3 linked regions of the Mus musculus genome follow. The protein of the gene in region 1 interacts with the protein of each later gene in a pairwise test. Links are inferred from orthologs where the notes say so. Each region holds a gene or a part of one and is shown on either strand. Other genes may lie near its edges.

What was found.
Region 2: the proteins of Dtx3 (region 1) and Usp2 interact in binary tests that used the Homo sapiens proteins (3 or more experiments, as listed by UniProt). The link is inferred for Mus musculus from reciprocal best matches to the Homo sapiens genes DTX3 and USP2.
Region 3: the proteins of Dtx3 (region 1) and Ube2l6 interact in binary tests that used the Homo sapiens proteins (3 or more experiments, as listed by UniProt). The link is inferred for Mus musculus from reciprocal best matches to the Homo sapiens genes DTX3 and UBE2L6.

The regions. Positions count from the first base shown.
Region 1 is NC_000076.6:127,192,851-127,197,123, reverse strand, and holds the start of Dtx3 (probable E3 ubiquitin-protein ligase DTX3), read left to right. Parts: upstream 1-1,414; 5' UTR 1,415-1,430; intron 1,431-1,556; exon of another isoform or gene 1,557-2,252; intron 2,253-2,316; exon of another isoform or gene 2,317-2,442; intron 2,443-2,489; 5' UTR 2,490-2,714; intron 2,715-3,320; 5' UTR 3,321-3,365; coding exon of another isoform or gene 3,366-3,393; coding exon 3,394-3,394; intron 3,395-3,766; coding exon 3,767-4,273. UniProt on the Homo sapiens protein: Regulator of Notch signaling, a signaling pathway involved in cell-cell communications that regulates a broad spectrum of cell-fate determinations.
Region 2 is NC_000075.6:44,090,889-44,093,586, forward strand, and holds part of Usp2 (ubiquitin carboxyl-terminal hydrolase 2), read left to right. Parts: intron 1-115; coding exon 116-227; intron 228-323; coding exon 324-434; intron 435-947; coding exon 948-1,012; intron 1,013-1,196; coding exon 1,197-1,300; intron 1,301-1,387; coding exon 1,388-1,468; intron 1,469-1,588; coding exon 1,589-1,667; intron 1,668-1,813; coding exon 1,814-1,921; intron 1,922-2,238; coding exon 2,239-2,359; intron 2,360-2,698. UniProt on the Homo sapiens protein: Hydrolase that deubiquitinates polyubiquitinated target proteins such as MDM2, MDM4 and CCND1. Isoform 1 and isoform 4 possess both ubiquitin-specific peptidase and isopeptidase activities.
Region 3 is NC_000068.7:84,797,561-84,801,731, forward strand, and holds the start of Ube2l6 (ubiquitin/ISG15-conjugating enzyme E2 L6), read left to right. Parts: upstream 1-1,267; 5' UTR 1,268-1,345; coding exon 1,346-1,372; intron 1,373-4,171. UniProt on the Homo sapiens protein: Catalyzes the covalent attachment of ubiquitin or ISG15 to other proteins. Functions in the E6/E6-AP-induced ubiquitination of p53/TP53. Promotes ubiquitination and subsequent proteasomal degradation of FLT3.

The sequences.
Region 1 (4,273 bases):
AAAATATGTATATTTACTCCCGATATCACAATAAAATAAATTATTTGATCTAAGTCATTCACAGAAGTTTTTGTTTTTTAAAAAACTGAGTAACCCATCCTATGTTTAAGAGTTACAGAGTCCAACTGAAAAATATTGGTCTTCAAGGTGTTGGGCTCCTGAGTATGTGTGTGTGTGTGTGGGGGGGGGGTGTTCTAAGATGACTGTGGACTTGGAGTTGTGGGGTGGACATGGGAGCGGGAAAATAGTCGCCAACCTTGTGGCGGCCAGAGTGGGAGTGGGATGGTGTGTCTGTCTTCATTATGCTCTTGCTCCTCCATCTGTTAACTTTAGTGGGCCTCTTGGGGTACCAGCTCTGTGGGAAGGAATTCTCTGTTCACGCAGACTTCCTGGGAAAGCTATCTGCTTAGAGGCCAGGAAGAGTCCAGCAGGGTCCTGGGAAAGTGAAGGAGTGACCAGTCCTCCAGTTCAGGGGGGAGGGGATGGAGAGGGGTGGATGACGTGGTTGGTGCTAGTCTGGGAGAGTCAGTACCTCTTCTCTTGGCTGAGGAGGTCTCTTGGCTGGTGGAAAAACCTGGCTTGATGTAGCCCCAGGGAAGTGAGCTGGAGGAGGCGGAGACAGCTCTGACGGGAAGCAGAGCGGAGCAGAGCTTTTTTTCTTTGGGAATTTTTAACTCTATTTGAGCCATGTACTTGACACTAACACCACCCTGAGCCATTTTTAAAGGATCTATCCACCTCACGTTCTGCACAGACCAGTGTCCTTACTTGTGGAAAACTAGTCACCAGCCCACTTCTGGTAACAGGCTGCGAGGGTTGGGGGTGGGGGGGGTCACCGGAGGTAACAGTCTGGAAGGAGGCAAGAGTTGAGGGAGGGGATTGAAGTAGTTTAGTCACAGGGTTTATTTTGTAGTACCAATGTTTTCCTTTTTTTTTTTTAAACTTCCCATCCAACATATTCCAGCGTAAGACTTCAAAAAAATTTCCCTCCCCTTCAATCTATATACCCACCGACACTGCTCCCACCCCTACCAGTTCCTAAGAGTGCAACGCAGTTGGCTGGGAAAGAAGTGGGGAGAGGTCTCCTCCGGGAGGGGGAAGCCAAGAGAGTGGCGTTTCTAAGGGATTTAACCTCCTACCCTCGGCTACATGACGCCACCCCTCCCTCCAAAGACTGGAACTGCGCCTCCATTTTTGTTTTGGGGCAGAGGCAGGGGCTCCCGGGTAGGAGGGGGTCAAAGGAAACGGTGATTATCACCCACCAAGGGGAGGGGTGCTCTCCCTTCCTTTCTCTCGGTCTGCACCCCGGCATCCCCTTCCACCTTCTCAGGGTCTCCCCCCCACCCCCCCGCCCCTTGTTGCTAAGGCCCGGACCGTCATCCCAGCAACAGCCTCAGTCATGTGACCGGCAATGGCGGCGCTGACGAGAGGTAGGTGAGCCCGGCGCCCCCACACCCACCGCGTGCCCCCCCAGGCCGGGTCCGCACCCTCACAAGCCCCCCGCTTCCCTCCGCCCCCTCCTCCGCCATTGGACCCCCACGCGCGCGCCGCGGGAGAAGAGGGCGCCCTCGGGGCCCGGGCCCATCATCTTTCCCGCACCTTCAGCCCTGGCCTCCATTTGGGGGTTCTGAGGGCCGCAGTCGGGTGGACACACACCCTCACCAAGCGGCGGGACTCCGGGGCTTCCTCGAGTAGGGATGCGGGAGTTGGTTTCGGGTTGGATGGATCCGGGGGCAGTCTCGGGGAGAAGGGTGGGGGGTGCCTCAGTGGACACCTCCCCAGGGGACCCTTGCCCTTTCTCGCCGTCCCTGCCAGCGGCCGCTGTCTGGAGGAAGAGGCTGGTCTGGTGTCCGGCCTGGTTTGCCCCAGAGGAATGCTAGACCCAGACTAAACTGTGGCCCCGCCTCCCTGTGCCGTGCCAGCAGGACTTGGAGCTAGGACACCTAGATCCTGGGTTCTCTCTGGTGGGGAGGGGGCATTTCACCGTGCACAGACCATGCGGGTTGAGATGCTTAGGTTTTCATCTCAAGGACCCTATGATGGAGGCACAAACGGACAGAGGCTTCTTTTTGGATCACAAGGAATTGAGGTCACATGAATGGCCCCTCTTCCTAATTGAGCTGCACTTTGTGTTGTGGGAAAGGCCCTGGAGCTGGGCTGTGACAGGGCTCAGGGGAAAACCTCGGGTCCCTCTAGCCAAGCTCCTGCTTGATTTGCAGCTGACAGCAGCTCTGCGGGCACTGGGTTTAAAGGTGACAATGAGAACTTTGTTATTGCGGGACTGCTAACACTTTGCTGGCATCCCTAACAGACTTCCGGCTCTCAAGGAAAGGTCTCTGTCAACAACAGGGACTTGAACTATTCGAGAACGTAAAGCGAGGAGTTTAGGAGATATTTCTGTCAGTGTAATCTGAGGGAGGTGGCGTGTACGACCTTCATCCTGTGAGGCCCTTTTTTTTTTTCTCCTTCCTGTCTTTATCTGCATCTAGGATCTCCCTCTGCACTGGGGGGAAAAGAGGAATTAGCCTGATGAAGTTCCTTGAGCAACTTGGAGAGGATTCTGCAGGGGAGGAGAGGAACTAGAAGAGCGTTTTCTGTCTGGGCTGGCTGAGGAAATGCTATCATAACTCTTTACCTTCCTCGTCTCCAGCTCTGGCCAGCTGAAGGTGGAGGTGGAGGGACTTCTGCTACCTTCGTCTCTGTGGTCTTTTCAGGTACCCGTGCCCCAGGAGAACCTCAGCTTTCGGGTTCCTCCTGTATTCCAAGAAATCCCCATTTCCAGTACCCCTACCCCAGGTTCCTGGCCATTTCAAGGGCTCCTGAGTTGGGGCTTTGGGGTTGGGGAATAGTTTTCCTTCCTCCTCCTCCTCCTCCTCCTCCTCCTCCTCCTGTTTTTTTTCTTTTCTTTTCTTTTCTTTTTTTTTTTTTTTTTTGAGACAGGGTTTCTCTGTGTAGCCCTGGCTGTCCTGGAACTCACTTGGTAGACCAGGCTGGCCTCAAACTCAGAAATCCGCCTGCCTCTGCCTCCCAATGCTGGGATTAAAGGCAAGCGCCACCACTGCCCAGCTTTTTTTTTTTTTAAAGATTTATTTATCTATCTATCTATCTATCTATCTATTTATTTATTTATTTATTATAAGTACACTTTTGTTGTCTTCAGACACACCAGAAGAGGGCATCAGATCCCATTACAGATGGTTGTGAGCCACCATGTAGTTGCTGGGATTTGAACTCAGGACCTCTAGAAGTGTAGTCAGTGCTCTTAACCACCGAGCTATCTCTCCAGCCCCCTTACTTTCTTTTCTTTCCCATTCCACCAGGCCACAGGATCTCCAGGTATCAGGGGGAAAGGAGAGTGAGCCTGCATGCCAATTCTAAGCTCCTCCGGATCAAAGTGAGCAAAGCAAACGGAGGTGGGATGGGGTGGGGTAGGGGTGGGGAGCCTCCTTCCCTTGGAGGAACCTTTTTTTTTTTCCATCTTGGGGAGAAGGGGCAGGTTGTTGTGCTCAGGGGAGAAATGAAAGAAGCAAGCAGGGCTGGTGCTTGGCTTAGATAACGATGAAATATGGAAACCTGTGCCCAGAGGGTGCTGGGCTATGGGACAGAAGTGGAGATAGAAAACCAACCGGTTTGTGGGCAGTGTTGGGGGTTGGCTTTGAGGGAAACAGAGGTAACACAGGGGGTTCAGAAGGAGCCTGAAGTAAGAGGCACATTTATCTGTCAAATGGGGACTCCCCACTCTGAGTCCCTTTCACCCTGGGGGCAGTGTCGTTCGTCCTGTCCAGAATGGCAGCCTGTGGAGGCTCCTGCAAGAACAAAGTGACTGTCTCCAAGCCTGTGTGGGACTTCCTGAGCAAGGAGACCCCAGCCCGGCTGGCCCGGCTTCGGGAGGAGCATCGGGTGTCCATCCTCATAGATGGCGAGACTTCTGACATCTACGTGCTCCAGCTGTCCCCACAGGGTCCTCCCCCAGCCCCTCCCAATGGGCTCTACCTGGCCAGGAAGGCTCTCAAGGGGCTACTGAAAGAGGCAGAGAAAGAGCTAAAGAAAGCCCAGAGGCAGGGGGAGCTCATGGGCTGCCTGGCTTTGGGGGGTGGAGGGGAACACCCCGAGCTGCACCGCCCAGGCCCTCCTCCCCTCCGAGCAGCCCCACTCCTGCCCCCAGGGGCAAGAGGGCTACCCCCTCCTCCTCCTCCCCTGCCCCCTCCACTCCCTCCTCGTCTCAGAGAGGACGCTGAAGAGCAGGAAACCACCTGCCCCATTTGCCTGGGGG
Region 2 (2,698 bases), on another chromosome or scaffold:
CTCTGGATTCCAGGCCAGCCTGGTCTATGGAGTTAGTTACAGCCATTGCTACACAGAGGAACTCTACCTTGAATAATCTCACCTGTTCTTCACCCTTTCTAATGGCTCCTAACAGAGTTTGCAAAACTAATCCAGACCATATGGACGTCGTCCCCCAATGATGTGGTGAGCCCATCTGAGTTCAAGACCCAGATCCAGAGATATGCGCCACGCTTCATGGGCTATAAGTAAGGGCCTGGCATGCGTGCCCTCCCCAAGGTGGCTGGCAGCACAAGTGAGGTCTGGTGGGCGCTGCTCTCCCACTCACTTTTGTTTGCATTCAGTCAGCAGGATGCTCAGGAATTCCTTCGTTTCCTTCTGGATGGTCTCCACAATGAGGTGAACCGGGTGGCAGCAAGGCCTAAGGCCAGCCCTGAGACCCTTGATCATCTCCCGTAAGTAAGAGGAGGTCCTGCCTCAGGCAAAGCCTTTGTGAACTTGACCTTAGTGCCTACTTCTATAGGAGTAATGATTCGGGGAGAATCAGATTTGCTTTGTTTTTAAGCTCAGACTTTTTATTTCGGTACTGTGCACGGGTCTGTGTACCTAGGTCCTTGTATGCAATGGGCAAGCACTCTGCCACTAAGTTACATCCTCTAAGATTGCTTTTGAAGATTAAAAGGTTGAAGCCAGGCATGGTAGGAGATACCTGTAATCCTAGAATTCAAAGACTGAGGTAGGAAGGATTATGAATTAAAGACCAGCCTGGGTTAATCCTGGCTCAAGAGAACCGTGGCTTGGGAGGTACAGCTCAGGAGGGTTGTGTGACCAGGAGCGAGGCCAGGGATTCCAGACGCAGCACCCCATACAGCAATGTCTGTAAATCCATAAAGACTCAAGATGAGAGCCCTTAAAGACTTCCAGGGTTTGAGTCCTGACCTACCTGTCTTCCTGTCTGTGGTTCCCAGTGATGAAGAAAAGGGGCGACAGATGTGGAGGAAGTATCTGGAAAGGGAAGACAGTCGGATTGGGGGTAAGTATATAGACAAGAAGATACCTGCTTCTGTTGTTACCCACTTTTGCTCAAGAAGCCACGGGGATCATTTTTCCCAGGGAACCCTGCTTCTGCCTGTGGCTCTCAAAACTAAGGCAAGCGTGGGTGGGAAAGGAAGACGAGCGTTCGGCGTGCTGAGCATGGCCTGGCTCTCTCTCCCCAGATCTCTTCGTTGGGCAGCTGAAGAGCTCCCTCACATGCACCGATTGTGGCTACTGCTCTACAGTCTTCGATCCCTTCTGGGATCTCTCGTTGCCCATCGCAAAGGTATGCTCAGCTGTGGTCCCCACTTCAGCATTGCGCTCGGGGCTCAGTGAGGTCGTGACCTCTGACCTGGACCCTTTTCCTTTGCAGAGAGGTTACCCTGAGGTGACGTTAATGGATTGTATGAGGCTCTTCACCAAAGAGGACATATTGGATGGTGATGAGAAGCCAGTAAGTCACTCCTCAGTGACAGAACAGCCACCTTCACAGGGCCTGGTTGGGGAAGGGCCACCAAGTCTCCCTACCTCAGGCCTTAAGCTCTTTTTAGCCTCTTTTGTATCTGTCTTTTAGACTTGCTGCCGCTGCCGAGCCAGAAAACGATGCATAAAAAAGTTCTCTGTCCAGAGGTTCCCAAAGATCTTGGTGCTCCGTATCCTTGACTCCCAGGGTGGGGAGCTGATTTTTGGAGGGTGACTGTTGACAAGGGACCAAAAGGGGAGGAGAGGAGCTTAAGGAAAAACCTCTGTAGACGTCTTTGCTGTCCTGCTTCCTCTCCTTGACTCAGAGCAATCACAGACCTGAAGCGATTCTCAGAATCCAGGATACGAACCAGCAAGCTCACAACATTTGTGAATTTCCCACTAAGAGACCTGGACTTGAGAGAATTTGCTTCAGAAAACACCAGTGGGTATACTGGAGCAGGAGGGAAGAGGGAAGGAGGGAGGCAAGGGGGCAGGAAGCAAGTGAGTTAGGAAAAAAATCAAAAGATCAGGATGTGAGCAGGCAAAGTGCCGATGACCAGCAACAGATCCCCAAAACCCACACAGAAGGAGAGAATTGACTGTCAAGATGCCCCTTTGACCTAAACACACACACATACATACACACACACACACACACACCAAGGAAATAAGTGGGGGCGGGGGGAGGAGAGTGGGAAATAAAAGGGAGGAAGGGAGGGGATGTTGGGCAGGAATGCTAACCCTGTGCTGCCCCCTCAGACCATGCTGTTTACAACCTGTATGCTGTGTCCAATCACTCCGGAACCACCATGGGAGGCCACTATACAGCCTACTGCCGAAGTCCGGTTACAGGCGAATGGCACACTTTCAATGATTCCAGGTGAGAGATGGAATTCCAGCAGGGTTCCGTGACAGCAGTCATCTCATATGGCTTCCATCTTGAATGGACAGAACCATCATACCACGTGTATGCTGCCCTCTCTGGGACTGTCAGAGATAGATAGGTATGGTGGCTCACTAATCAAATACCTGAGAGGTGAAGGCAGGAAGGTCAGGATTTCAAGGTCATCTGCAGCCACTTAGTGAGTTCGAAGTCAGCCTTGGTTATGTGAGACCCTGTCTCAAAAAATGGGTTGGCACTGAAGAAGTGGCTCAGCAGTTAAGGGTTCCCACTGCGGTTGCAGAGAACAGGGGCTCGTTGCCATCGGCCACCATGGAC
Region 3 (4,171 bases), on another chromosome or scaffold:
GCTGGCATTTAGAAGGTATCTGGTTAAAGTTATTGAACTGAAAAAAGAACCCAGAATCTTTTTTTCTTTTTCAAGATTTACTTTATTTACTATATGTAAGTACACTGTAGCTGTCTTCAGACACACCAGAAGAGGGCGTCAGATCTCATTTCAGATGGTTGTGAGCCACCATGTGGTTACTGGGATTTGAATTCAGTACCTCTGTAATAGCAGTCAATGCTCTTAACTGCTGAGCCATCTCTCCAGCCCCAGAATCATTTTTCAAGCACATCCTATATGTAAGCAGAGCAGATATTTGGTTCCTGGACAGGAAAATAAAAATCATGTGACCTACTGGGTCAAAATCTTGGGCTTCAAAATATGCTAATTTCTGGGCTGGAATGGGTGAGGCAGGTAGGTGGATTCCCTTCTAACTCTAGAACTTCTTCCAGAGGCTGGGGGCTGCTATTACACCTTGGCCTCGACTTGAGCTGGGATGAGGGGGGTCTTTACTCTTGCGCAGAGGGCTAGAGACTTCTTGGCTGTTCATTTGGACACACAGTAGTTCCATAGTTTGTAATCAGTTGGTGATAAAATATAATAGGCTCCTGAAATCTATCTCGAGGCTTCAGCCACCCATCGTTTTCCCAAATTGCCACACAGCAGACACTTTCTATGTGTTCAGTAGAGTAAAACACAGAACGCCCAAAATAAAAGCGAATGAGTCCAACAGCGTCCTCTAGTGGTGCTCGGGCACCAAGCAACCTAAAAGAAGCATCGCTGCGTTTCTGCCCATCTGCTGGACTGTACCACTCAGGGAGCGGTCCTCGGAGGACATAAAGTCTATACTGACCCCCCCCCCCCCACTCTCTTTTAGAACGGAGCACTGAACCCACAAAGGCAAAGTGACTTGGCCCAGGATTCTGAGACTTTCTTTAGAGGTGGTAGGTTCACAATTCCATTGCGGAGGTCGCAGAGAGCCCTGCCCCGGAGCTACTTTGCATCAAGAGTATCTCATCTGTGCTTTGGGCGAGTTTGCTCTCAGCGTCCGGGGAGCTGACAGAGGCTGGAGATGAATCCCATCCTGGCTTCTACGAGATGTACCCCGCAAGATGCAGGAACCAAGAGGAGCAGTGCGCTCCACCGACGTAGTCTCTGATCTGCAAGGAGCATGAGTTGCTGAGATACGAGATCGCCAAGCTGGGCACTCGACTGCAGCCTCCAGATATCCACCAAAGGGGTGGGGAGCAGGTCTTTGCAGCTAGAGTCGGTGTGGGTGGAGTGGAGCGTGGGCGGGGCTCGGGAGCTGCAGTTCAGAGAGCGGTGTCCTGCTGGAATCTGCTGGTGCCCCACGCTCCAACCCGAGATGATGGCCAGCAAGCGAGTGGCGAAAGTAAGCCTATGTAGGATGACCCTTTCCTTGTGCCCCTTCCCGCCCTGCCCTAACCTTTCCGCCCTGCCCTAACCCTCCCCTGCCCCCTTGCTCTCTGAGCTTTTTTTGTTATTTGGGTACCAGGGCTGGCTGAAACTCAGGTATCCTCACCTTTTCCCAATGGAGAAATGGGAGGAGAAAGGCGCGGTGTGTGTGTGTGTGTGTGTGTGTGTGTGTGTGTGCGCGCGCGCGCGCGCGAGAAGGAGGGAGAAAGAGAGGAGGAAGGGAGGGGGCCTGATTGAGAAGGTCTGGAAAAAAAAGTTGTCATCAGCTTCAAAAAAAGTTGTCATCAGCTGTACTGGCCACGAGAATGAACTGGTCTTTCCAAATGGTTTCCAATGTATTGGGCTTTCCAAACTGGTTTCATTTTCAATTTCTGCTGGAAATTTATTAGTGGAACTTATCTAAGGCACAGGAAGGGCTCTGTTGCTCCGCCTAGTGGATACACCCATAATTTGATACCTACATTACCCGAGGCCACAGAAGAGTGATGTTGGGCGGTGGGGTGGTGAATGGACAGACCGTGAAATAAAACGTACAGACTAGTTCCTGGATGAGAAGTAACAATTTATGCTCTGAGTAGGTTATTTGTATGCAGTCCTGCTCCAGCTACTAAACGCCTACTTTGTACTAGCCCAGTGCCAGGCAGCAGGAGCAGAAAAGGAACAGAAATCTTGTTCCGTTTGAACGTTCATTTCTATGAGACACTATTTGGTACTATCTGAAAGAATGAAAAAAGGGCAGTTTCCTTAGGAATGTCTAGACCGCTGAATGGAGCCAGGATTAGAGATCGTGGAGGAGAAATGCTCGTGAGCCAGGGCTGGTACCGCTAGGCTTTGAGTCTCCCCGAAGTGCTCCTCTAGTCTGCAGAATTGAGGGGAAGGCTTCCTCAGGAGACAGAAGGGATGGTTGCTGGCCTCATGTTTCTCTCTCTCTCTCTCTCTCTCTCTCTCTCTCTCTCTCTCTCTCTCTCTCTCTCCCTTTCTTTCTTTCTTTCTTTCTTTCTTTCTTTCTTTCTTTCTTTCTTTCTTTCTTTCTTTCTTTCTTTCCTTCTTTCTTTCCGAGACAGGGTTTCCCTGGCTGTCCTGGAACTCACTTTGTAGACCAGGCTGGCCTCGAACTCAGAAATCCGCCTGCCTCTGCCTCCCCAGTGCTGGGATTAAAGGCGTGTGCCACCCAGCTGGCCTCATCTTTCAAAAAGAAAATTCTTTTGAGATGGAGAAGTCCAGAGCAGACCCAAAACAGAACTAAACTTTGTTGGTTTTAGGCTGGTACTAAATGGGGCAAAGGGTAATTTGCTACCTCAACGCTAAAAGGTAGACTGGCTTTTGTTGCTCCGGAATTGTCAGCACCAGGCAGTTTGTTTTATTTAACTCTTAGAACAACTGTGAGATAACTGTGTCTTCCCATTTCATGGAAGAGGAAACTGAGACATCAGGGAGAGTAACGTGGCTGGCCAGTGATATTCTGCAGAAGTAATGGGGCTGGAATTTGAGCCCAGACTGATAAGAGTCTAACTCACAGGGCTTTTCCTGCCTGTTTGCCTTCACTTTCATTTCTCCTAAGTCAGGTGACTTACTAGCTGGCTTTGGGAGGAGCTGTGTGCACTGGTGTGGGTTTCAGCAATCATGGAAAGTTCGTCAGAATTCATCAAAACACAGAAAATTCAAGTGTTAAGAGAGAAAATTTCCCTTCGGTACTTTTTTTTAATACCATTTTGTGTTGTTCAGATTGGTCTTAAACTTGATATGCAGCTAACAATGGCCTTTAATTTTTAAAAAATCATTTAATTTAATTTTATGTGTATGGATGTCCTGCCTGCATATATATCTGTTAACTACCTGCATGCCTAGCAGAAGCAAATGAGAGCATTAGATCTTCTGGAACTGGGGCTAGAGACAGTCATCAGTCACCATGTGGGTGCTGGGAATTGAACCCAAGTCCTCTGGAAGATCAACAAGTGCACCTCCCCACTGAGCCATCTCACCAGCTTAATTTCAGGATTCTTATGCCTCCATCTCATTCCCTAAGACATGGGATCATGGATGTGCACTGCTTTATCAAGTGTTGTACAGTGCTGAGGATTGAACCCAGGGTTTTGTGCACGCTAGACAAACACTCTACCAACTGAGCTGCATCTTCAGCCCAGAAAAATGTCCATTCAAGATCTATGTTATACCTAAGCCTTTGTTCTTGCCCAAGCTATGGCATGGGTTATGCTTGTGGTAAGATAGAATAGGCAATGAATGGTCATGGCTGTAGGTAGAAGGCATGAGAAGCCATTTGTTAGTGTGATTACATATGGAAGATGGGTTTAGTGATGAATGGGAGTGTGGCGTGCTTATATACTTGGGGGTCAGAGTACAGATGATGCACAGCAGTGAAGGACCCCACCCCCAAGCCCCTGGCTTAGGGGAACTTTCTACCTGCATGTACACAGGCCTTTCTCAACTTTCTCTCTGTTGACATTTGGGACCAGATCATTCTCTGTAGCTAGGATGTTTCATCAGCGTGGACTTTACCCGCTGGGTTGTGGCAGCACTCACCCCATCTGTGACAATAGAAAACGTTTCTAGATATTGGCAAAGGCGTCCTGATAGGTAAACACATCCCTGGATCAGAACCACTAGTTTGTATCTATTCATTGTCCCCAGCGTTGCCTTGAATATGTGACTGTTTTTCAAACCACCACCCCCTTCTCAAAATGAGAAGAACTGGAGTCCTGTGGGTGAGGTCCCTTGGTCAGATGCACCATGGTAT